Caenorhabditis elegans: one gene and its partners. The protein of the gene in region 3 interacts with the protein of the main gene of each other region in a pairwise test. Each region holds a gene or a part of one and is shown on either strand. Other genes may lie near its edges.

Evidence for each region. Proteins that work in one complex are often made in the same cells at the same time.
Region 1: the proteins of jmjd-3.2 (region 3) and hlh-27 interact in a two-hybrid assay, tested with the Caenorhabditis elegans proteins (one large-scale study listed by BioGRID).
Region 2: the proteins of jmjd-3.2 (region 3) and jun-1 interact in a two-hybrid assay, tested with the Caenorhabditis elegans proteins (one large-scale study listed by BioGRID).

What each region holds. Positions count from the first base shown.
Region 1 is NC_003280.10:5,537,263-5,542,568, reverse strand, and holds hlh-27 (BHLH domain-containing protein), read left to right. Parts: upstream 1-2,355; 5' UTR 2,356-2,359; coding exon 2,360-2,517; intron 2,518-2,573; coding exon 2,574-2,804; intron 2,805-2,851; coding exon 2,852-3,269; 3' UTR 3,270-3,494; downstream 3,495-5,306. Other genes in the region: C17C3.24 (uncharacterized protein), read left to right, coding at 994-1,056, 1,482-1,565; C17C3.11 (Protein kinase domain-containing protein), read right to left, coding at 4,159-4,406, 4,451-4,523, 4,570-4,734.
Region 2 is NC_003280.10:9,110,788-9,117,468, reverse strand, and holds the start of jun-1 (Transcription factor jun-1), read right to left. Parts: upstream 4,313-6,681; 5' UTR 4,179-4,312; coding exon 4,067-4,178; intron 853-4,066; exon of another isoform or gene 794-852; coding exon of another isoform or gene 742-793; intron 645-741; coding exon 573-644; intron 1-572. Other genes in the region: T24H10.4 (Transmembrane protein 53), read right to left, coding at 6,421-6,666. UniProt on the Caenorhabditis elegans protein: Transcription factor that recognizes and binds to the AP-1 non-canonical enhancer heptamer motif 5'-TTAGTCA-3'. Required for ovulation. Controls plc-1 expression in the spermatheca to regulate spermathecal valve dilation.
Region 3 is NC_003284.9:14,444,840-14,454,464, reverse strand, and holds jmjd-3.2 (JmjC domain-containing protein), read right to left. Parts: upstream 6,256-9,625; 5' UTR 6,236-6,255; coding exon 6,124-6,235; intron 5,561-6,123; coding exon 5,321-5,560; intron 5,135-5,320; coding exon 4,644-5,134; intron 4,009-4,643; coding exon 3,303-4,008; intron 2,858-3,302; coding exon 2,670-2,857; intron 2,624-2,669; coding exon 2,031-2,623; intron 1,975-2,030; coding exon 1,783-1,974; intron 1,159-1,782; coding exon 1,077-1,158; 3' UTR 898-1,076; downstream 1-897. Other genes in the region: F23D12.7 (Neuropeptide-Like Protein), read left to right, coding at 633-762, 810-859; F23D12.4 (F-box domain-containing protein), read right to left, coding at 8,341-8,893, 9,348-9,463.

The DNA.
Region 1 (5,306 bases), on a different chromosome or scaffold from region 3:
AGACAAATGAACTGTTTTTTTTTAAATGATTTTCAATTGTTTTTAAGAGAAATAGTAGCGATAATTGTTGGTCAGTAACAGTCAAAACATGACTCATTTTTTTGTCGAAATGGTTTATCAATTTTCGTGGAAGCCCCTTGTGGTCGGATCAATCAGACTAAAGCTGCGATTTTTATAGATCTTGTTATCTCTATTAACAATTGCGATTTTTAAGTTACTTCAGAGTAACCAAAACGAGTTCAGGTTATTTTAAAAATAATGGATGGCGTAAAACAAAATTTTTAGAACCACTTTTTGAACCTAACAAAGTATTGGAAGTATTACCAACAAAAAAAGTTTCAGAACTCATTTCCCTAAAACAAAGGACAAAAACATTCAGGCCAAAGGCAACCCTGTATACAGAAATAAGACAGAAATTATCATCGTTGCAACGGGGGGAGACAACAAAAAATCAGAATTGAGAAAGAGCCATGCACCATGAGTCAGGGATTTTTCGTTATTAATAGTTTTTGATAAAATTTGTCCCTTTTTGTTGAAGCTGAGGAGGCTTATTGATTTGAAAGTTTGTTCACATAACCTTTTAGTTGGCAATTGGTACACTTTGGAACACTGAAAACGGAAATATCAGTTTCAGTGATTTTGATTGAAATTGAATACTAATTTCCTCACCAATTACATTCAATCACTTGACTTGACTTCGCTATTAATTTATTGCTCATAGTTTCAGATCTTACCTTCACATCTGCTACAAAATGGACCGCAGAAAGCTTCAAAAAGAGGCAAGAAGTGAAATGAAAAAGGTGAGTATTTCAATCTCGTTCTGAAATTCAACTCATCTTTTATATTCAGACCGCCAATGGCGTCGACCGTGCCACATATAACCGAGCAAAGGCTCTTTTGGAGATAATCCGGAAGGTTAGAAATATACATTTATTCGTCATCACATTACATTTCTAGAATGCCTAGGACCGTTTCAAGACATCTGTGAGAATTATGGAAACCCGCCTTCAGGAAGAGATTGCCACAAATGATCTGGCTTCCTCCACGATCTCCAAGGTGAGTCATGATAATTTTGACTCGGCAAGTTTCCAAAAATTGTCTTCCGTCGTTGTACGATGAAATTTATGGCTTAATATATTAAAGAATAAAAAATAAAAAATTGTAATTTGGGAGACAGATGTGAGTATATTTAAGGTCATAGCTACTGCCATAGGATTACTGTAGCCAATATTCCAGTAGCTGAACTATTCCACGGGCAATCTCCGTTGTTATCATGATACTGTATGATAATTGTAATAAAACTAAAAATCGTTTCTGAGATCATGAGCGAAGATCAAATGAATTTATTGGCGGGTTATTATAAGGCTACTGTCGTGATACTGTAGTGATACTGTTGCCGAAATTCATATCATTGGAGCAAACAGGGAACACAATTTATATTATAAATCGTCCTATCAACTTTCAAACTTATGTCGTTTCAGTCACGCCATGCCATTTTTGCGTCCATAATCGAAGAGCTCAAATCAATTTCCTCTCACTTTTGCATTCCAGCTCTTCCAATATGATTGTTCTCCATATTTATTCTGTTGACCACTGTCAATTCAAAATAGATATCTTCTTATATAAAAATTATGTTCGAAGAAACTGTTGCAAATCAATCTTGTTTAGAATTACTGGCAAAATAATTTCAGTTGTTTTCTCCTATTTTATTTCTTTTCGAGATATTTCTGTTTAAAATGTTGTTCATCCGGTACAGTTGATACTACTATAAACTTATAGAATAAATTAACACAGTGCCAATATCCTAATTCACAGTCTCAGCCGGAATTTCCCAGGCAGTACCCAATCGATATCCAGTCGTCTAGTTTCGCATGGTCCCAAGACAAAACTGGAGATGTCCAGCCTCGTTCTCATGAGAACCTCACTGATGAACCATGGGAACCCATGATGGGGACTGTAAAAATAGAGATTTCAGAATAATTCCCATGGCTCCAAACGCTTGATACAAAGCTCCACCCTCTGAACAATAATGGAACTATAAAAGGTAACCATTTATTCATTGTTCATTTACTTTCTTGGTGGATCACTGGTCTGCTGGTTTAGTATACTTTTTGATAATTGTAACATCAGGAAAGTGTACTGATTTTGATCAATTACTTTTAAAGCATTCAGTGAACTGTATACTTCTAGAAAAACAGCACGAGTTATCTCACTAAACTAAATCAATTTGTGCTGCTTTCTTGGTCTCATTTTTCTGTTTTGTCACAATTATTCCTTTTATTTAACGGCTCATCTTGAAATTTTATAAATTCTAGATTTCTTCTTGATTTTAAAAAGATTAAAACTTATCAAATTTCAGATGCCAAAAGTTATCCCATCTTCAATGAGCGATTATCGTTCCGTCCCATACAATCAAACTCCAAAATCAGGATCTGAACGGAAAAGAAGAAATATTACAAACGAGTTGATTAACGAATGCAAGACGATTGTTCAAAAATCAGAAGAAGAACATATATCGTAAGTTTAAATACTCTGTTAGCTTAAAATAGTTATTAAACTAATTCATTTTTTAGACAAGAAGTAGTTCTCTTCCGAATTGTGAAACTTGTGACTGGAGTTAATCTGGAATCTAATTTCTCATCGAATGACCTCTCCGAATCTACAAGACGGAAGTTTGATACTGAATCCGAAAGAAGAAAAGTGAAGACTGAACGTGAAAAGATTCGAAGAAAGAAACAAGATGACTGTTATGCTGAATTGAAATTCTTCATTTTGAACAAACAAATGGGAAGTTACGAGCAACGGTAAGAGTTTCATTATGGCTAATAAAAATTCAAAAAATTATTTTCAGATTAAAACTTGAACGGATCACAATTCTAGAAATCATCATTGATTACATTAAACACAATTCCGATCTTCTGTATCCAGAAACAATTCCCCAAATACTTCCTCTTTTAGCTGGAAAATCAACTGCTACTTGTGAGAACAAAGAGAATGAAAAGCCAAAAACACGAATGGAAGTGAAGGATCTCTTCCCAAGATTGACGTTTCAAGAAGTTCAAGAATCCCCAACATCTACTTCTCCATTGCTCACATTTCCATGTATTCCAATGATCCCAACTACTCAGTTCAATGTCTTGTCAAACTACAACACCGTTCCATCAATATTTTCTGCTCCCCTCCGATTCATTCTTCCATCACTTCAAATCTTAACACCAGAAACTAGTGACGAGGAAGAAAATGAAGAAACCGTCGATATTAGTAACTAGTCTATCAAGTTCTTCCAGATCTTACAATTAGTTTCTGAGCAATTTTTCGAAAATCTTCATTGTCTATATTGCGTTTTTGATTCATTTTTTTATCTTTCTATGGCCAATATTCCCGAACTTTTTCATCCCATCGCGTCGCAATCTATTTTTGAAGATTTTTTACTACTCACGTGATAGTCTTGTCTAAATTATTCTGTTTGAAAATGAATGTTTATTCGGTAAAATTTGTTAGCCAGAATACAAGCAAGACAAGTATGTATAATCAAAGTTCCATTAGTCCACACCAAATTCCATCTCCCAGTCATACGGAAACTCTTCAATGTCCTTGTCTAGCATCACTTTTTGCAGTGTTGTATAGATCATCTCATAATCGGGCTCCTTGAAGAACGAAAGACTGTCGATATAGCTGGAAATGGAAAATTACGAATAAATCAGCTTTGGTAGAGACTCACTTCATAATCAAGCGAAATTCATCTGGGCAGCCAGCAAGGAATTGGCCCATGATCGGTTGGAAGCGGGAATTCTTCTTCATCGCACCAATCTCGCCAATCTCATTTACATTTTTCCAGGGAAGAGCTGCATTGGTGAAATCGACGAGCATGTAGAACCTAGAAAAACACATTTTCTCAAATAAAAACTATTATTCTTATTTTCAATTCTAAGTGATAACCCAATCTGGCCTTCTGGCATCTTTACAGAATATATCACATAAATGACTAGTTCTTAAATTGATTAAACTAGCCAGCTTTCCAAATCGTCCTTCAGTCCATGTTCCGCCGTATTATGTGATGCAAGCGGTGCATATCGAGGGCTTCCACGAAATGGCACAGTTTTTCTTGGCTCGAGCATCAAATTTTCGCGATCTACATACTTTCGGCAACATCCGAATCTAAGAACAAAAATGTTGCGAAGCTCGCCTTGGCTTGCTCTTCCGAGATAGAAGTTGCCAGGGTTCACATCTCTGTCCAAGAACCCACTCCAATGCAAATCTTCCAATGCTTCCAAGCATTGAAACGATGCCCCAATCGCAGAGCCCAAATGTCAAATGACCATCAGGCCCAGTCTTTATAGCATCTTGCAGGGATTTCCCAAGAAGCTTCATGACAATATAGTTAAAGTTGTCATGGCGTCCCTTGTCTGAAAGATGGGGTTACGGTTACCTACAAAAGTGTACTACATACCAATGAGAGTAGGCATGTGGCTGGGCGACTTCTCAGATACCTTTGTCATCACACAAAGCTCAATTCTCAGCGACTAAAAATAACATTTTCTGCTTAATGGTTCGACAGTATTAACTCACATATATCTCCTTGGTATTCAACTGAGCCTTCAAAACATGCTCCTCTCCAGCATCATCTCGCACAGCATACACTGCTCCGAATTCACCATCTTCAAGTTTCTTGAAAACCTTGTAACGACGAACTCTATAGTCAATACTTAGCTGAATAACGGGAGCCTCCGTCATCTCGTGACGAGAATAGATTTGAAAATAAATTATTTATGGATTTTCGGAAAATATTGATCTTGTCGTTGACGAACTTTTTTAAACACAACGTTATCACATCTTTGAAGTCCACGTTCAAAAAAAGTTTTTCTTGTTTTTTTCTGCAATAAAATTAACTTCATAAACTAGAAAAGGAGATTTTCAAAAATCCGGACTGTTGATTCAAAATTATTTCAAATTGTTTTTATTCTGATATATATATATATATATATAATATAAATTAACACAATTCTAATATCCCCTTTACATTCTCAACCAAAATTTCCTATAAAAAGGGGAAACTCACGCCCATAACATGGCCAAATAATTGTTTGTCCATCTACGGGTCTCGCAGCGAAAATCAAAGTTTATTCGGTGTTTTTTATTTATCTTTTTTTTTTGGGAAATTATGAAACTAATTTTTGTTAAAATGATTGCAATTTCCAAAAAAATCAAAATTTCAAATTAAAAAGCTCGAAAAAATAGTTTAAAACTGAACTCCCACTACAAACTGCCCAGCGGAATTTGGAGTCTCGTTTGGCCACGCCCACTCG
Region 2 (6,681 bases), on a different chromosome or scaffold from region 3:
ATTTTTAAAAATTTTGAATTATTTTTTTTTGCTTAGGAAGAGCTGTTAACTATTCATGAAAATTAGTCCCCAAAAAAAATATTGTAACTTTTATAAGTCAATTGAGTTGAGTTTTTTCTTTTGAAGTTGCTGAATTAGCTGCGGCAAGTTGTCGAGTATTTCTTTTGTCTTAATTCGGTTCAAAATAGTTTTTACTTTTTTTCAAAATTTGTGGTACTAGGTGTAGGATTAATGATATTCTGGCGTGCAGAAAATTTAAAATTGAAATCAATTAATTTTTTCAGGTGAAAACTTTAAAAAAATCTTGACTATGTATATCTAAGTTAGTTTTTTTTTCATTTTCCATCCAGTCATAACAGTGGTACAATTGTTTTAAAGTAGTATGCCACCTTCTGATTGTGATGAGAAAGACATTCATTTATCAGTCACACAACAGTTTTGTTGACGTTTTTACTTTGTGATTTCCATTTTTTGAATATTTGATCAGCAAACGATTATTCTTGAGTTCTCAATTTGTGACTTTCTTTTTTTATTTTAAAATTTCCATTCATTTCAATATTCAAAATTCTCACCATAAAATCCTTTACAGTACTGTGCTGTGCTTTCCTTCTCGCCATCATCTACTTCCATATCCTGTCGCCGATCTGAAAGTTAACTTTTAATACTTCAGAGATTGGAATTAGTCTTTTGGTATTCGTGTCATTTGAAAATGAAACTGTCACTCTTAAAATGAACCCTTACATGGTGAAGAGTTGGTATGTTGTGTCACATTCATATCAAACGAGTTATTCATCATCGATTCACAAAATAAATAGAGAAGAATGAGAATCGGAAAACGAAGAAGAAGAAAACGAAACGAAACGATGAGAGAATGAGATGGAGGTGGAGAACCATTTTTGGTGATAAGCGAGTATGACTCACTACTCAACAACCCGACATTTCAGGATGAACTGAAAGCACACTGAATTGCTTACAATTTCAAGACAAACGGGAAGAATTATATTGCTAATTCGTTATTTACCATATCACTGTAACTGTTAAATGTCGTGAACAGTCTCTGATGCTGTGCTTCTAGTAGGCATTCCACTCGGTCGAGGCGTGACCGAGGCGCCTTTCGTCCCTCGAACCCCTTACAGTCAACTTTGTGTTCCATTTACCTTAACTGTGGTTCTGGTGGTTATTTTAAAATTTCTAGTTATGTGAAAAAACTTGAAATCGATTCTATTTTTGGTAGGATAGAGAATTATAAATTTCCATTTCTTGGTGATTCTTGAAACAACTGATTGATTATTTTCTGATCAATTCCATATTAAAATACGGTTATGTTCTTTAGGTATATTTACAAAAACTATGATTTCTTTGATAATTATTTAAAATTCAGCCACTGCAAAATCATAGATCAAATCAAAAGACCCGGAAAATAATTGTTTTCCAAAATATCAGCACATTTAGGAAGTACAATTCCAACAAGAATATATCCTAAATTGGCGGGAATCGAGAAAAGCATAACAAAAAAATAGATTCAATATATATGAAGAAAAATGTTTCAGATAACTTCATAACACAAACATCAATTGATCATGAAACGCGTGTTAGATTTGATTAACAAAACATGTTAACGATGTTCTTGGAACTACGCTGATTAGCAGAAAAAGTTGGTGGGAAATGTTGTTTAAAGTTTTTGAATACGCGACACGAAAAAGGAAAGTGAAAAACTTTCATAATGCTCCATCCAAGCACGTTCTTTAATTTGTGTTTATGATGGTGGGAAAATAGAAAAAGTGAAAAAAAGAGAAGAAGAAAAAGATTCTCAGATGTTCTCTAACAGAAAATGTAGATGAAACTAGAGAACCAGAAAAGCTCAGAGATAAACATCAAAAAGAAAATATTAGAGCAGATCAGTCTTCCACGAGCAGAACGTCATGAATATGTTCTTTAAAGATTAGTGTCAGGTTTGATGGGAATTGGCTGAAACTAGGGCTTCATGCGCCTCATCGGAACTTGGCTTGCCTTCACGGCAACCCTTGCCTGCCTTGTGCCTAGAAATATTAATAACTCATGAGTTAACACAATTCGAGCGCCAAACATCGTTGAATCAAAAATATGAAGCCAGGAGGGGCGGGTAGGTTTGAGGCAGGCAGTGGATCCTGAGGATGCACCTCTCTAGATAGATCTACTATGGGTAACCTAGCTAAAACTGAGTTCAAAATGACTAACTACCTACAGGTTCCATTCTAAAATTGAAACAACTTCTGCAGAAAATGAGAACAAATACTAACAGAGATTCGCCTGAATATTTCATCAAACATATGACTGTTTCGCAAGAGTTGCCATAGCCTCTTTCATCTCATTACCCATGCATGTTATGGAACAGAAATCAGAGCCTAAAAACTGAAAGATGGGAAGGAAAAAAGGGGCAAAGTGTGTGTCAAAACATTTACGAAAGCCCGATGACTCATTCCAAGAAATGAATGGGAACGGATAGAACGAATGAACAAAATATGTCTGGATAAAATGGAAATTAAGAAACCAAAGTTCGAGAATAAACGCATCGAAAATTAGTTCAGCTCACGTAGCTAAAAAAAATTTCAAGACAAACTTTTAAACATCTTCTTTGCAAAAATCTTGATAACGAGAAATTCGACGTAAAATAGAGAAGCGAAGGGCCGGGATAAGCCATTTGTAAGATCATTTTAGATTTTTTATAGCATTCGATCGTTCAAAATCAATTTTAAAATAGCATTGTTTGAACTTTTGCTTGAATTTTCTGTACTTATAGTGTGTTTTGTATTTTCGTATTGTACTTTTGTCAATATGACTTCGAAGAACGTTTTCAAAATACCTAACTATAAATTTCGACAAAACCTTAAAAAACCCAAATAGTGTACTAAAATGATCTGATGAGCTAATAATGAAACTTCCGAAAGGAACAGCTGTTAGTCTTATCATTTGGCACAATCAGGTCGAACCAATGAAATATTGCTCTCAAACCAAGAGAGGGCGGAGAGACATATTGTGGTGATTTATTAGGTAGTTCTTGTGAAAAAATGTCGGGTTTGAAATATGTTAAATTTCTAGATGAAGGTTTTAGAGAAATGAGGTTTGTCGGATTTGTATACCATAATATATTTAAGCTTTTTTTGAAGGATTTGAATAATACAAATCTTCAAAGTAAAGCTAGGGGACAAGCTAGAGTAGGAGGTAGAGATTTTCCAAAAAAACATAGTTTTACCGTTAATTGCAATTTTAAATATTAATCAAGAATTTAGGTTTAATGAAAGTTCAAAAAATTTACCAAGTTTACAGAATATGGTCTAGGAATATATATATATATATAGTTTCAAGTTCCTAGATCCTAACCCTAATGCCTCTACACTTCCGCTAAACTAGGCATATGCGTTTATCAACAAAAAACAGTTCGAAGAAAAGAGACCATATAAGACGAAGAGACGCAGACAGTTGCCAGATGGAACGGGCGGGAAAAGCTGTGCGCCGCTTCGATCACTACAGTAGCTGCGTCGTTGGAATCGAAAATCACGTGTCAACTCGATTTTTTTTTCTCGATCACTGCGTCTCTCTCCGAATTAGAGTCTCGCTCGTAGTTTTTGTGATGATTAAAATGTAATGATGAACATTCATAAAAGTGGGCGGAGCCAGGATTATACCGTTTACTCTATTTTTAAGTGTTTTATGTCCAGTTGAAAGGAAATTGTTGCATAGAAAAACTTTCAATTTGGTAAGAAACAATATGATTTAATTTTACAAATCATTTAAGAAAAATACAAAACAATTTTAACAACCACCTGTTTTTTTTGGCACGCGTCATAAACTTTTTATGGGTTCAAAGAATTCATATTAAACATAGATCTACAAATTGATATAATGTTTTGACAAACAACTTCATCAATTAACGATAAAATCACGAGATCACAAATGTTTGGTAGTTGTAATTTGGCATTTTGATAGTAGTGAAACTATAGTTTTGTAACCATGATTGTCCATTTCCTATTGTGACAGGTTTATCATCAAGTATTCCAAAACTTTTGAACTAGACAAACAAACTAACCCTTTTTGGAATTTTTCCTTCTTCGAGTTGGAGCTTTTGGAGCTTTTAGAACAACTTCTGGAGATTCTGATGATGTTGATGAGGATGGTGGTTCCTCTTGATCCTCTTCCATTTTTGTTTTATTTTGATTTCAAAACCTTTTGACAAATAAGAATTGAATAGAGAGGAAGAGAAGTTGATGACGAATCGGTTGACGACGATGGCGATGGGGGTTAGTCGGCGGGGGCCCCGAGAATGAGTCACACGCACACTCACTCTTGTCTCTTTTCCTCTGCTGACTCGTTCTTTTCCTTTTTCTCTCTTTTTCTATCTCTATCTCTTTCTCTCTATTTTCCAGATCCATGACATCCATAGACGCAGATAGACAAACGAACATTGAAAGAAAACATTGAAAATTGAGAGAATCCAGAAGTTTCTCATTCTCTCTATTTTTCATTCTCTCTTTCCACCACCCAATTGACATTTAGAAAGGTAAATGGAGAGAGAAAGAGAGGAAATGGATAAAGTTCGCAGAAAAATGTTACCGTAAATAATGTGTCAGTGTGCTTGCTTCACGTTCTCCGTCTCTTTTCCCTCATTTCTCTCCGCTCCTTTGACTTCTGTATTTGCCTTTCCATCAGCCACTTATCTTTTTGGAAGTTCATTGGCTTTTTCAGAGCTCATCTTGTTTTTCATTCTTTTTAGGCCTGACCTCATTAGTCTTTTACCCATAGATCTTGTTTATGCACCCAATAATAACTAAAATATAATACGTTTTTTGCAGGGGTTTGAAGCTTTCTGATCCGGTTTTTCAAATTAATAAAAACCGAGAGTAATAAAAACTCATGTTTCAGTAAATCCAATTTTGGAAGTCGACCAGAAAACATTTTTTGGAAAATTTGGCAATTTACTAAAACTGTTAATGAACATTTTACTCTGGAGTGTTCGATTATGACATTCGAGAATTTTGTCTGCACATACTTCAACTAGACCAGAAATACTCTAGATCATTTTTACAAAATCTAAACATATTTTGATTTTCTTTTTGAAATTGTTTGAGGTTTTGTTTTTGGCACAATGCAAAAAAAAGGTTTTTTTTCAAAGTAATTTATACTATTTTTGCATGTTCGGTCCTAGATCTTTCATATTTGTAATACGTGATAACATATTATTAGTAATAGCCAGATTTTGACTACAGTTACAAACATTTTTTAATTTTTTGAACTGTTTTACCATGTTATTCAGCATACCAAACAACTCGTCTAGATATCAAAACAAGTTTTATTCAAGGTAACATACCGTGTACCATACCATTTGGAAAGTACGGTAGATATCAGTTCATTGCATTTGGGAATTTGTATCGCATTTGCAAAGTTAATTTTGATTGGTAGATTTTTTTCGGCACTTGCACTTAATTTTTTCATAGAAACACCGTAATTTGCATAAGAATAGTCATTCGGCCTAACACGATCGATGCTAATTATCTTTTATTATTACTAACTTCATGTTTTATTTGGCTTATTTGTGCTGATATCTAGAGGCTTTTGAATTGTACATTCGTGAACCAGGAATTGGCCAAGTTTTGCCAATTTCGGAACCAAGTTGGGTACGAAGTTTCGAACATAAATCTGAAAGTGTTTCATTGGTCTCCAATAGTCATGATTTGTGATTCACTTTCCAATTTACAATATCAACAGTAGTATCTACTCATAATTGATAACTTCGTATTTTCTCTAATCATACTTATGTCTCTCACGATTCCATACAATTTCGCGTTCGTTATGGTTGTCTGCTCATCTTTTTGTACACGGTCATCAAAATGAAATCGGAACGAAAAAGCAGTCACAAATTCGGAAATCATTGCAAAAAAATGGTGGGAGTAAGAATTGAGAGATTAGTGGAAATGGCATCACATCAGAATCAATTTGAATTCTCTCTTTTTTTGTGTTTCCTCTGCCCACCCATTCACATTTCAGGTGATTTCGAGAACAAATTACGTCGAAAGGGAAACGCCTGGCTGAAAATAAAAAATTCAGAAAAAAAGGAAGAAAATAGAAAGTGCACGCACCGGCATACGTAATAAGGAGCCCCTCATCTAAATAATATTTACGCTTCCAAGATTCTGTTTTTAGTTTAGTTTTTTTTAGAAGGAAGGAAACTTTTTTTCGTGTAATAGCAGGGACTTTCAAAAAGTAATAATTTATATCTAATGTCAATAGTATCAAGCAAAAGCTTTTAAAGCGAATAAAACTGGGACATAGAGATGGAACGTTGGGAAAGGAGATGGGAAGAACCGGTCAATTAATATATAAGTAATTATGCGAATTACCATCTATAAATATTAAGAGAAACAATAAAAATCTATAGATATGAATCTAGTAGGCAAGCTCTTCAGGTACATCATTTTGTGCAGCTTCTTCAGTTATTTCTAACGGCACACGACTTCTATTCGCTGGTAGATGGCCTGATTTCACAAAGTCTAGGCATTCTTGAGTGTACGTCACGGGATGAGATCGGAGATGTTGGCAGTGCAAAGAATCGAGAAGACGAAGTTTTGAGATTGAAACACCACGTTGCTCCATTAACTGGGCGTATTCTTCGATGGATTCTTCGGAGCAAACCTGGAAAAATTTGTT
Region 3 (9,625 bases):
TTGTTGCAGTTACAAGCCGTTGAGCGCACTAAGCTCGGAACAAAAAAATAGTTTTATTTTCTCAAACGTTAAATTACAGAAGTTCTCAAATGGGTGCAAGACTGACAGAGAATATGATTTATTTTTAATTTTTTTCAATTTTTAGAAGTAGTCAATAGAAGAGCAATATGAGAAAATTTTGGGATTGATCAGCAACTGAAGTATATGGAGCAGCACAGAAGCACAGTTGCATCACTGCTCTGGCCGTTGCCCTGAACCACAAAAACGGCGAGAAGGGAAAATACACTCAAAACCTCTGTAGTTTGACGGTTATTATTGGAGAGATATATGTACCTGTTTTTCTTTTCCTAATTGTATACTTATTTTTAACATGATTTTAACTCAGGTTTTGATTTTAAGTCAGGTTTCTAAACAGAATATATTTTCAATCGTTTCTCTAGAAATCAAATTGTATGATTCACCAACTCTTTTATTTACATGTCACCGGGAAAATTGACAACTGCCGCCGCAGTTGCTTCAACCTCAACATTTTGTGTGATAACATTGAAAACATCTTTTCGTCATTGTCTGATTTTTCTTCACCGAACTCCTCGTGTTTCTTTTTTTCCTAACCCAATCTCATCTTTCAGAAAATGTTTCGTTTCCTACTGTCTTTCTTGACTCTCTTCATGGTTTTGCTCGTTGGGATCTCTCTGTCCGCACCAATTCCAAATATTGATAACGCTGAAGATTTTCGCTACCCACAAGACCCAGAGGATTTCAGTAATTTCAAAATAATTGCATACAAAATCAAAAACTCCTATTTTCAGATAATATGCCAATGGCCACAGCACGTCCATCTGTCAACCCATGCAACTAAACATTTTCGATTTCTTTTTTGTATGTAAGAATAAATTTTTTTTATAATTAGTAAGTTGGACTTTATTAAACAGAATTGATCATATCGAAAAATGTTGCATAATAAAAAATCAAAACAAGATCAATAAAACGATAAGTGATTCAAAATGTGCAAGAATTGTATAATACAAAAGAAAGCTGTGAAAATTGAGGATCGAAAGTTGAAAAAAAGAAAAGTTTCAGGACACCCATTTAAACTCGTCAAATATCTTCACCAAGTCAGCAATGTCCCGCCTTTGAAATGCTGTTGCTTTGACTTTTCTGGAAAATTAAATATTAGATTATTACGTGGTGTCAGGCTGTTTCATTGCGGTTTTATCTACAAAAATGCGGGAATTTCTCTTCCAGAAAAATGTAACGTCAGCACACGTATAGCCATGCGAAATCAGCTGAAAAATCTCCGTCTCTTCTCTCGCATTTCCCGAAGAAACCAAAATGCGACACTTTGACACCAATTAAACTATTTTTATCTTGCTATTCGTGTGTTTTTTACTTTTTTAACCAAAATAAAAGTGGTCTACATGTTTGAACATATATACTTAAAATGCACTCAAATAAACAAATTTCGTACGAAAAATTCTCTAATTTGGGAGATTTTTCCGTGACGCAACGGTCACAAATTTGACTTTTTTGAGCTTTTGTTTTTTAATTGCATGTTTTGGTAGATAATCTCAAGATAGTTAACCAAAAATCACCAAAAAATGGCCTTCCATCGGGTTTGAATATACGTTATTCAACGAAAAAACGTTGGATAAACGACCGATAAATGCAATAAAAAAATGATAATTCGAAAAAAAAAATACAAAAAAATTTTCTATGATGAGTAAACAATACATCCCTTCTTCCGCATTTATCAGTTATCACTCTTCACAAAATGCAACTCACCCTTTAACTATGCAATTAAGGCAGAATGGATTTTGCTTATTGTCAAGTGTGATCATATTGAACAGAACTTCCCGGCATTTTTGGATAGAGCATCGCTCAACAGGGATGATCGATTTCTCGTTTTTTGCTGATCTGATGAGCATATTTTCCTGAATGGCGAAATCGAACTCAAACTGGCTTTTTGCCAAACTTCTGTAATTTTGAATTAATTAGTTATCTAGTATTATGATTCTGTGACGAAACCGTACTTTAGCATTATAGCCTTTCGAGCCAGGAAAATATTCTCATCCTCTGCCTCCACTCCATCTTCAGCCATTTTCCAGACAATTGGCTCAATAGGCATGAGAGTAGTTGCTTTACTCGAGATGTTGTGATCGTGAATGACCATTGCAGCAGCCAGTTGATTAAAAGTTGGTTGTGCAACATTCCAGGAGACGTTTATTGCAAAATCATTAGATTGCACCCAATGAAATGTTCCAATACCGACGTACACCATGTCTCCAGGCTTTTGTAGAAACTTTTGCGATGGTATCTTTTCATTTCTTAATTCCTGCTCACTTGGCCAGTACCCGCTTTTATAAACATTAAGTCGATGCTTTTTGATCAGCACCTCCATTCTGCCACTGTACTCCATGGGCACTCCGTACCAAACACAATCACCTGGTCCATGATTAATGTTAATGGACCCGAGAGCTTGGTTCTCCAGGTGAGCTGTGGTTCTTGCTCCGGGAGGCTTGCAATAAACTTGAGGTTTGTTCAGACCTGCAAGTGACTCTTGAGCAAAGTTGAGAAGATTCCCGGCTCCGTCGGGTCTCAAACAATCAGGCAATTTTTTGATCTCCTGAAAATAATGATTATTTATCTACCGTTAACTTTAAACGACATACATCGAGCTGTTCCTTGAATCGCTGATCATCCAGATCAATATTAGTTCCAAATGCCAACACTGTCGCATTTTCATGGACTGTAAGTTTGTGTTCAGGACTGAGTGGGATCGTATTTTCCTTGATTTGCTTCTTCATGTCATCCATTACTTCCGAAAATGCGGAAGGATTGCGTAGGATAGCTTGGTAAGCTGAAAAATGAAAGGTGAACAAATTTAATGATTTTTATAAACTTTGGAAGTTCTCTAGTTTTTATTAAAACTTATCAAAAAAGTTCCCAAGTGGGTTGATTAAGAGTCAAAAATTGGCGAGAACTCAGTTCTGATTACCCATAATTTAAAGGTCGACAATGAAGTAAGTGCTTTTTTTTATACGAATTTCAAAATCTAAATATTTTTCAAATATTTTCATTGGGATGCCATTGAGGTTCAAATGGTTGCGACGTTGCTTTATTTTGCTCAAAACTCCTGGAAATCTTTTGAAAAGTTTTCGCTAATTTGGTTTTCAAAGCTGACTGGAATTTTAGACCAATCTTTAAAAATTTTGAAATTGGGTTTTATAAGATACTTATTTTCTTATAAAACTCAAATATCTTTCGCTAAATAAGAATTAAAAAAAAACAGTTCAAAAACGTACCTGACCTTCCTATATCCTTAAGGCTTTCATAATTCTTCGCAAAATCTCTCAACTGAGTAACTCCTTCAAAATCGAAGACAGCCCAGGCATTTCCCAATCTCTGCACGGTATTTTTGTCATTCATGTAGAAATTGGTTGCTGATGACTGGGGCATCTGTCGACGAATTTTCAATGGGTAATCGGGGTAGAGAGGTGCCAATGTGGAGATGTCAAACGTTTGGCGATCCATCCCAAATGCTTCTTCGATTCCTCGAAAGATGCACATGGTTGTGGTATTGACGATATTTTTAATAAAATTTGATGTTTCATCGCTGTTGTTCTCAATATTATAGATAGGAACAGGTAACCTGTATTGATCTTTATTTGTGTATTCTTCACTTGTGTTTTCTTCAATCTTTCCATCAGTGTTGAATTTTGTTGTTTCATCAAATAGTTCAGAACAGCCAGATGTTTCGTATACGAGATTTTTGCCAGATTTGATCCATTTGCTTGCTTTCGTAATAACTTGTTTTCCTTTTGATTTTGAGACGTCCATAAAAGTCGCTCCGGTTAGAAACAGTTTCGGGAGTTTATATAATGAAGGCAGATCACTGGGAAGGTTGGATATTGGTGGAATGGCTAGCGATCGGAGTTTGTTTGTCACCAAGCCCAGATTCTCGTTGTCTCTGACAACATGAACCGAAACATCCGTCGAGCACGAGGGCTCCTGCAAATATTTTAAAGTTTTGTTAAAAGCATATACATAATTTGTAATTTGCTTTGACAACGTCCTACAACGTCCTGTCTTAGACAAAAAATTTTGACCTGAAAGTTTGAGTTTTTCGCTGAAAACAATTATCAATTATGCGAGCTCAAAATGTCTGCTATAAAATAGTACGTTCAACTTTTTTCCGATCGCACCGATCGCATTTTATACATAGTTTTAAAAAACTCCCTATTAAGTTCTGTGTTAAAATTTGAACTTTTCAAATTGGTCTTTGTTTTATGTTTACAATGCATATGTAAAAATTTATGATATCAACGAGCATACTTGGTAGTGTGTATAATAGTTTAATTCATTTATTTATTTTTCTAACATTTAGAAAATTATTAAAAAGTTATTAAATTGTTCCTATCTTTAATGCGATTCCAAAAGAATTAGGAAATTTCTGGAAAAAAAATAATTTTTTGATTATAACTTAAGTTTGACATAGCGTTTGACATTTAAACGTTATATTTTAAAATTGAGCCACATTTCGTTTATATTGAAATTTCATGTTCATTATCAGTAGGGTCAGTAGGTTTACAACACTATTAAAGTGCTATTTCTTTTTTTTTTTAATATTAATTGAAACAACATACCGAAAAGTGTTCCAACTGTGCATCGATGGTTTTTTTCGCTTCTTCCGACTCTAGAATCGTACCAGCTGCGTCTCGTCGAGCAAACTGAAGAAATGCGTTCGCGTTCCAGTCACTACTAACTTGATGTATTTGAAATTGATTCAACTTATTAGATGGTCTTCCTCTCGCCGATTTTCTTTTCTTACTCTTTGTTTCAATTAGTGTTTCTGGCTTTCTTTTCCTTGAAGGTCCAACTAAAAATTCTCCCTGTTCATGAGACTCTGATTTTCTCAATTTTGAGTTGTTCCCACTAATTGGTGGATAACTGTTGCCATGCTGATCCACTTGATCTCTTCCGTCAATTTCAATTCTTTCACGAAAGTCAGCATCATTGCTCTGTGTTGGCAAAATCTGTTCATTAGTTGAACCAGAATCATTTGTGCTGACAATCAAAGAATCTGTTCCGCTTTCTTCTTGAATTTTTGCAGTTTGTTCAATTGTTGTGCAGTCGTCTGAAAATGAAAACGATTAATTCAAAAAACATTTTGTTTAGAAAAAAATTAGCCCAATATTTAAAATCTCTGCAAACACGCAACACAGTTTTATAATTTTCAGTTCCCATCCGAAAAAGTTACTAAAAAAGTTGCATGAAGAAAATGTTTGAATGAGCACATTTTTCAAAGAAATCTTAAGCTTACTGGTAATAAAATTTGCTGCTGGAACTTGATTGTCTGGATCGATGAATTGCTCTGTCTCATCCGAGCAGTCTTCAGCAATTTCATAATTTCCTGATGATATTGTTGTTCCTGAAGGTTCAGTTGACGACTCTCCCAGTTTATGAGACTCGGATTCTAACAGTTTTGAATTGTTTCCGTTAAATGGTTGATCATTATCGAAGCACTGATCCACTCGATTTCTTTCATCAATCTCGGTTTTATCTTGAAGCTCGCCATGATTACTTTGTGTTGAATAAACTTGTTCATTAATTGGTTCAGAATCATTTGTGCTGACAATTGGAGAATCTACTAGCTTTTGAGGAAATTTAAAGAAATGCCGCATGTTGCGACCCCTACAATATTTTAATAAAAATAATTTAAACAAAATTAGAACATAAAAAATGTCGAAAAAATTGTTTTTTTGGTCGACTTCGAAAATTATGAGTGGCAAAAACTGAGTAATTGCCACTTTTTGACAGTAAATAATAAATTTTCAAAAATTTTTGAAAAGTTTTATCATGATATTTGGTCATTTTGTGACCAAACGAGTGGTTTTTAACAATTTCTCCACTGGCAGTACTCCACCTTTAAATGTATATAAAGAATAATATAATGCTTCGCTTGAAAAAAAAACTAGTCATATGAAAATCAATTTCAAATATAGATTTTTTACATTGAAAAAAAGGATTTTTTTAATTTCTCGATATGAAAATTCCGTCTCCTGTCAGTTTACAAACCTTTTTTATTGTATGATCGTGTTATTAACACAAAATTAAAATGTTCACCTGTGAAAAAATCTGGCTTCAATGTTGTCGGAACTGGATATTGTGCATCAACGAGTTGTTCTGTTTTTTCGAATTGGTCTTGTGAACCTGAACCTTGGCCACCGCTATCCATCTTTTGAAAAAATCCTGAAAAAATTATTGCTCGTGATCAAAATATTCAAAATTAATATTGCTAGTGGAAAAAAGTGTGAACTCAAATTTTAAAGAGGATTTTTCTTCTATTAATCCTCGAAATTAACAAAAAACACACACACACTAAAAACTGTACATCTATCAATAATTGCAAAAATTGCATGCATTTCCTAATAAAAATCTAAAATAATCCCAAAACTGCAATACAATAAAATTTAAAGACTTGGATATAAATCTCACTTTTTGTAATTTTAACAATGCATACCCTATTATTCTAAAACAACTAAAGTTAAGTTCTGAATATTTCATTTCATGTTAAAATTAATTGAATGAATTAGTTTTGTCTAAAATTGATGAAAAACTATATGTTAATTTTGAAAAACAAACTAAAAAACATCGAGAAGTGGTGCAAAACGTATGTTGGAGCCAATCCTCGCAAAAAGGTCGAGAACAGGCAGAGAAGACTGCGCAGAACAAGTTACATCATCACTCAATCTGCCCCGTTTCCCATATTTTTGTAGGAGACTGTCGGGTCACATATGACGCAAGATGTGCCTTCCCACGTTATGGAGTGCTCAAAGAGAACAGGTGTCGTGGGGGGGGGGGGGGGGGGGTGTCTGCTCGATTGTAACAAAATAGCCGGGAGGTCTAATTTTTGATAAAACATAACAGAAGGTGGCCACCAAATTATTTATAGGAATGTGCTTGTATGCTTAATTTTTTCAAACTAGCATGTTTCATTGAACATATCACTGGCAAAGTTTGCGTCGAAAAAATTTTCCAATTTCAAACGGTTACTTATATATTATTACTTATATTTTATATACCAGAATTCAAAATACAACACAAACCAACTACATATATTCGGTCACCGGAAATCGTATACTTATTAACTAAAATGAATTTGAAAGTTCTGCTGCGCTTTGTTGATTAATCTGCTTTTCCTTGAGAGATTATCTTTTCATCTTTTTCTCGTCACTAGGAGAGTGCAGACAAACTATGAGTAGCTAGGAAACTTGTCCCAACTTAACACGTAACAAGAGTACCGAACAGCAACGGATTAGAGGAGCACGTTTTGAAGGTCTTACATACAGTGCCGGCCATAATTCTATCCAATTTTCGATTTTTGATAAATTTACAAGTTTTTCAAACGAGCACAACTTAAAAACTGGACATGCTATCGAAAAAAATTCAACTCAAGAAATTTTGTCCATAATTACGTCTACTTGTATTCAGTTGTTTAAGTTGTTTACCAGTGTCATGACAAGAAATACAGCGGCCGACATCTCGTGAGCCCGTTTTTGACAACTTTTACTGATTTGCCGGTATCTCGAAAACTTTTTTTTCTGTAAGTGTTGGCAAAGTAAAATAATCTTCATATTACTTGCCATCATGTGTGTCTTCTCACGTTGTTCTGAAAAATTCAGCAAAAAAGTTATGATAGATTAAACTTGAATAGTGTACGACTACAACTAGAGCATTTCTCGCAAGTGAAGAATTTTTTTTCCCTGAATTTTGATATCGTGTTTAAATAAAGTTTAATTGTGATTTTACATTTGTAATTATTAAAAAATGCTCGAAAAAAATATATTCGAAGTAAGTAACCTGATTTTTGGTTGTACAGCATGAGCAGTGCCAAGTGAGGGACTAGTTTGCACTTCCATAACTTTTTTGCTGAATTTTTCAAAACAAAGTGAGTAGGCACAAATGATGGCAAGTAGTATGAAGATTATTTTTCTTCAAAAACATTTCCAGAAAAAAATTAGTTTTCGAGATACGGCCGAATCAGTAAAAGTTGTCAAAAACGGGCTCACGAGATGTCGGCCGCTGTATTTCTTGTCATGACACTGGTAAGCAACTTAAACAGTTAAATACAAGTAGACGTAATTATGGACAATATTTTATTAGTTGAACTTTTTTTGATAATTTATAGGATATCTAAAAATGGGAAAAGCGAAAGTGAGGAATACGAAAAAAAAACAGATGGAAGAGGAAAGAAATACATGGATTTATTACTGAGGCTTAACATTTGACCTTATAATTAGAAACAAAAAATTATCAAAAGTTATTCAAGTTCAGAAAATTTTAATCATCATTCAAGCCCAACAGTCTTTCGCCATTTGGGAATCCCCAGATTTGAAGAGACGAAACTCGGCTAACTTCATCAATGATGCACTTGAACACTTCGTCGCTGTTGTTCTTTCCAGCAACTGCCAGAGTATCCATTTTGATTTTCAAATGATTCACAAGGTTGATGATATCAAGAATCACAGCGTCGGGCTGCTTATCAAAGGTGAGTTCCATCGAGATCATCTTGAACGTCTTTGAAAAGTATTTAATCAAATACTTCACTGTTTCGACTCGAGTTCCATAGGTGTTTTTGGCGCAGCATGATGGGAAAATGGGGTCAATTTTCAATAAATTCATTGGCAGTCTCGTTGAGCTCCTAGTTCTATACACCCTCTTTGGAGGCATATCATCCAGTTTTATGTTCACAATCTCGTTGGTTGCTTCTCCGTCATATCCGATTTTGATGATGAACGTTTCTCCGAGATTGACAGTCAATTGAACAAGATGTCGACGCGAGTGCTCCAATACCCATCTCTTTGCTTTTTGAGATAGTAACGCCAGTTTCACGCTAAAAATGAACCGTATTTGAATTGAATTTAAGCTTGCGAAGGCAGGACATATTGAGAGAGCGACCTGGGTAGCTTGCTCCCAAGTCGCTTTCAGATTTATGGTGAAGTGCGATATGCGATTTAATTTAAAAACTTGGTTGTATTCTCTATATTGAGAGTTTTCAATCAAATTAATGTACTAGTTGTTCAGAGTTCAAGATAAACTTCTAGGAAATCAAACAAACAACTACTTAAAATGTTATATTATTATTGTAAAAATACGATCGCACAAACTTCTCATAATGTATATTTGATCTACCTGCTGAACTTGACCCCGCCCCCAATCTTGTTGCCGTTGTTATTTTGTTGTGGCTGTCTTGTCAAAGGAAGGGAATGAGCCTAGTCAACAAGGTAGATCAAAAATAAATTATGAGAACATTGTGCGATCGTATTTGTTCGATAATAAACACTTACAGCTCGAACATTGGCAATTGTTTCACAATATCACCGAGTGGCAATGAAGGCAACTCTTCAAGCAGAAACGGTTTCTCGGTTTTCTTCGATGCAACTTTTGTCAAACCCTTCTTCATTCTGAAAATAAATAGGTAAATTATGACATTAGAAGACAGTTAGTGAGAAATTAAAGAAAATGGTAGTTAATACAAGGCAACATTACATACAGAGTTCAAAAAATAACATTTAGTTGAGTATGTTATAAAGGAAAATAGAGAAACGTTAAAATTGGTGAAAGG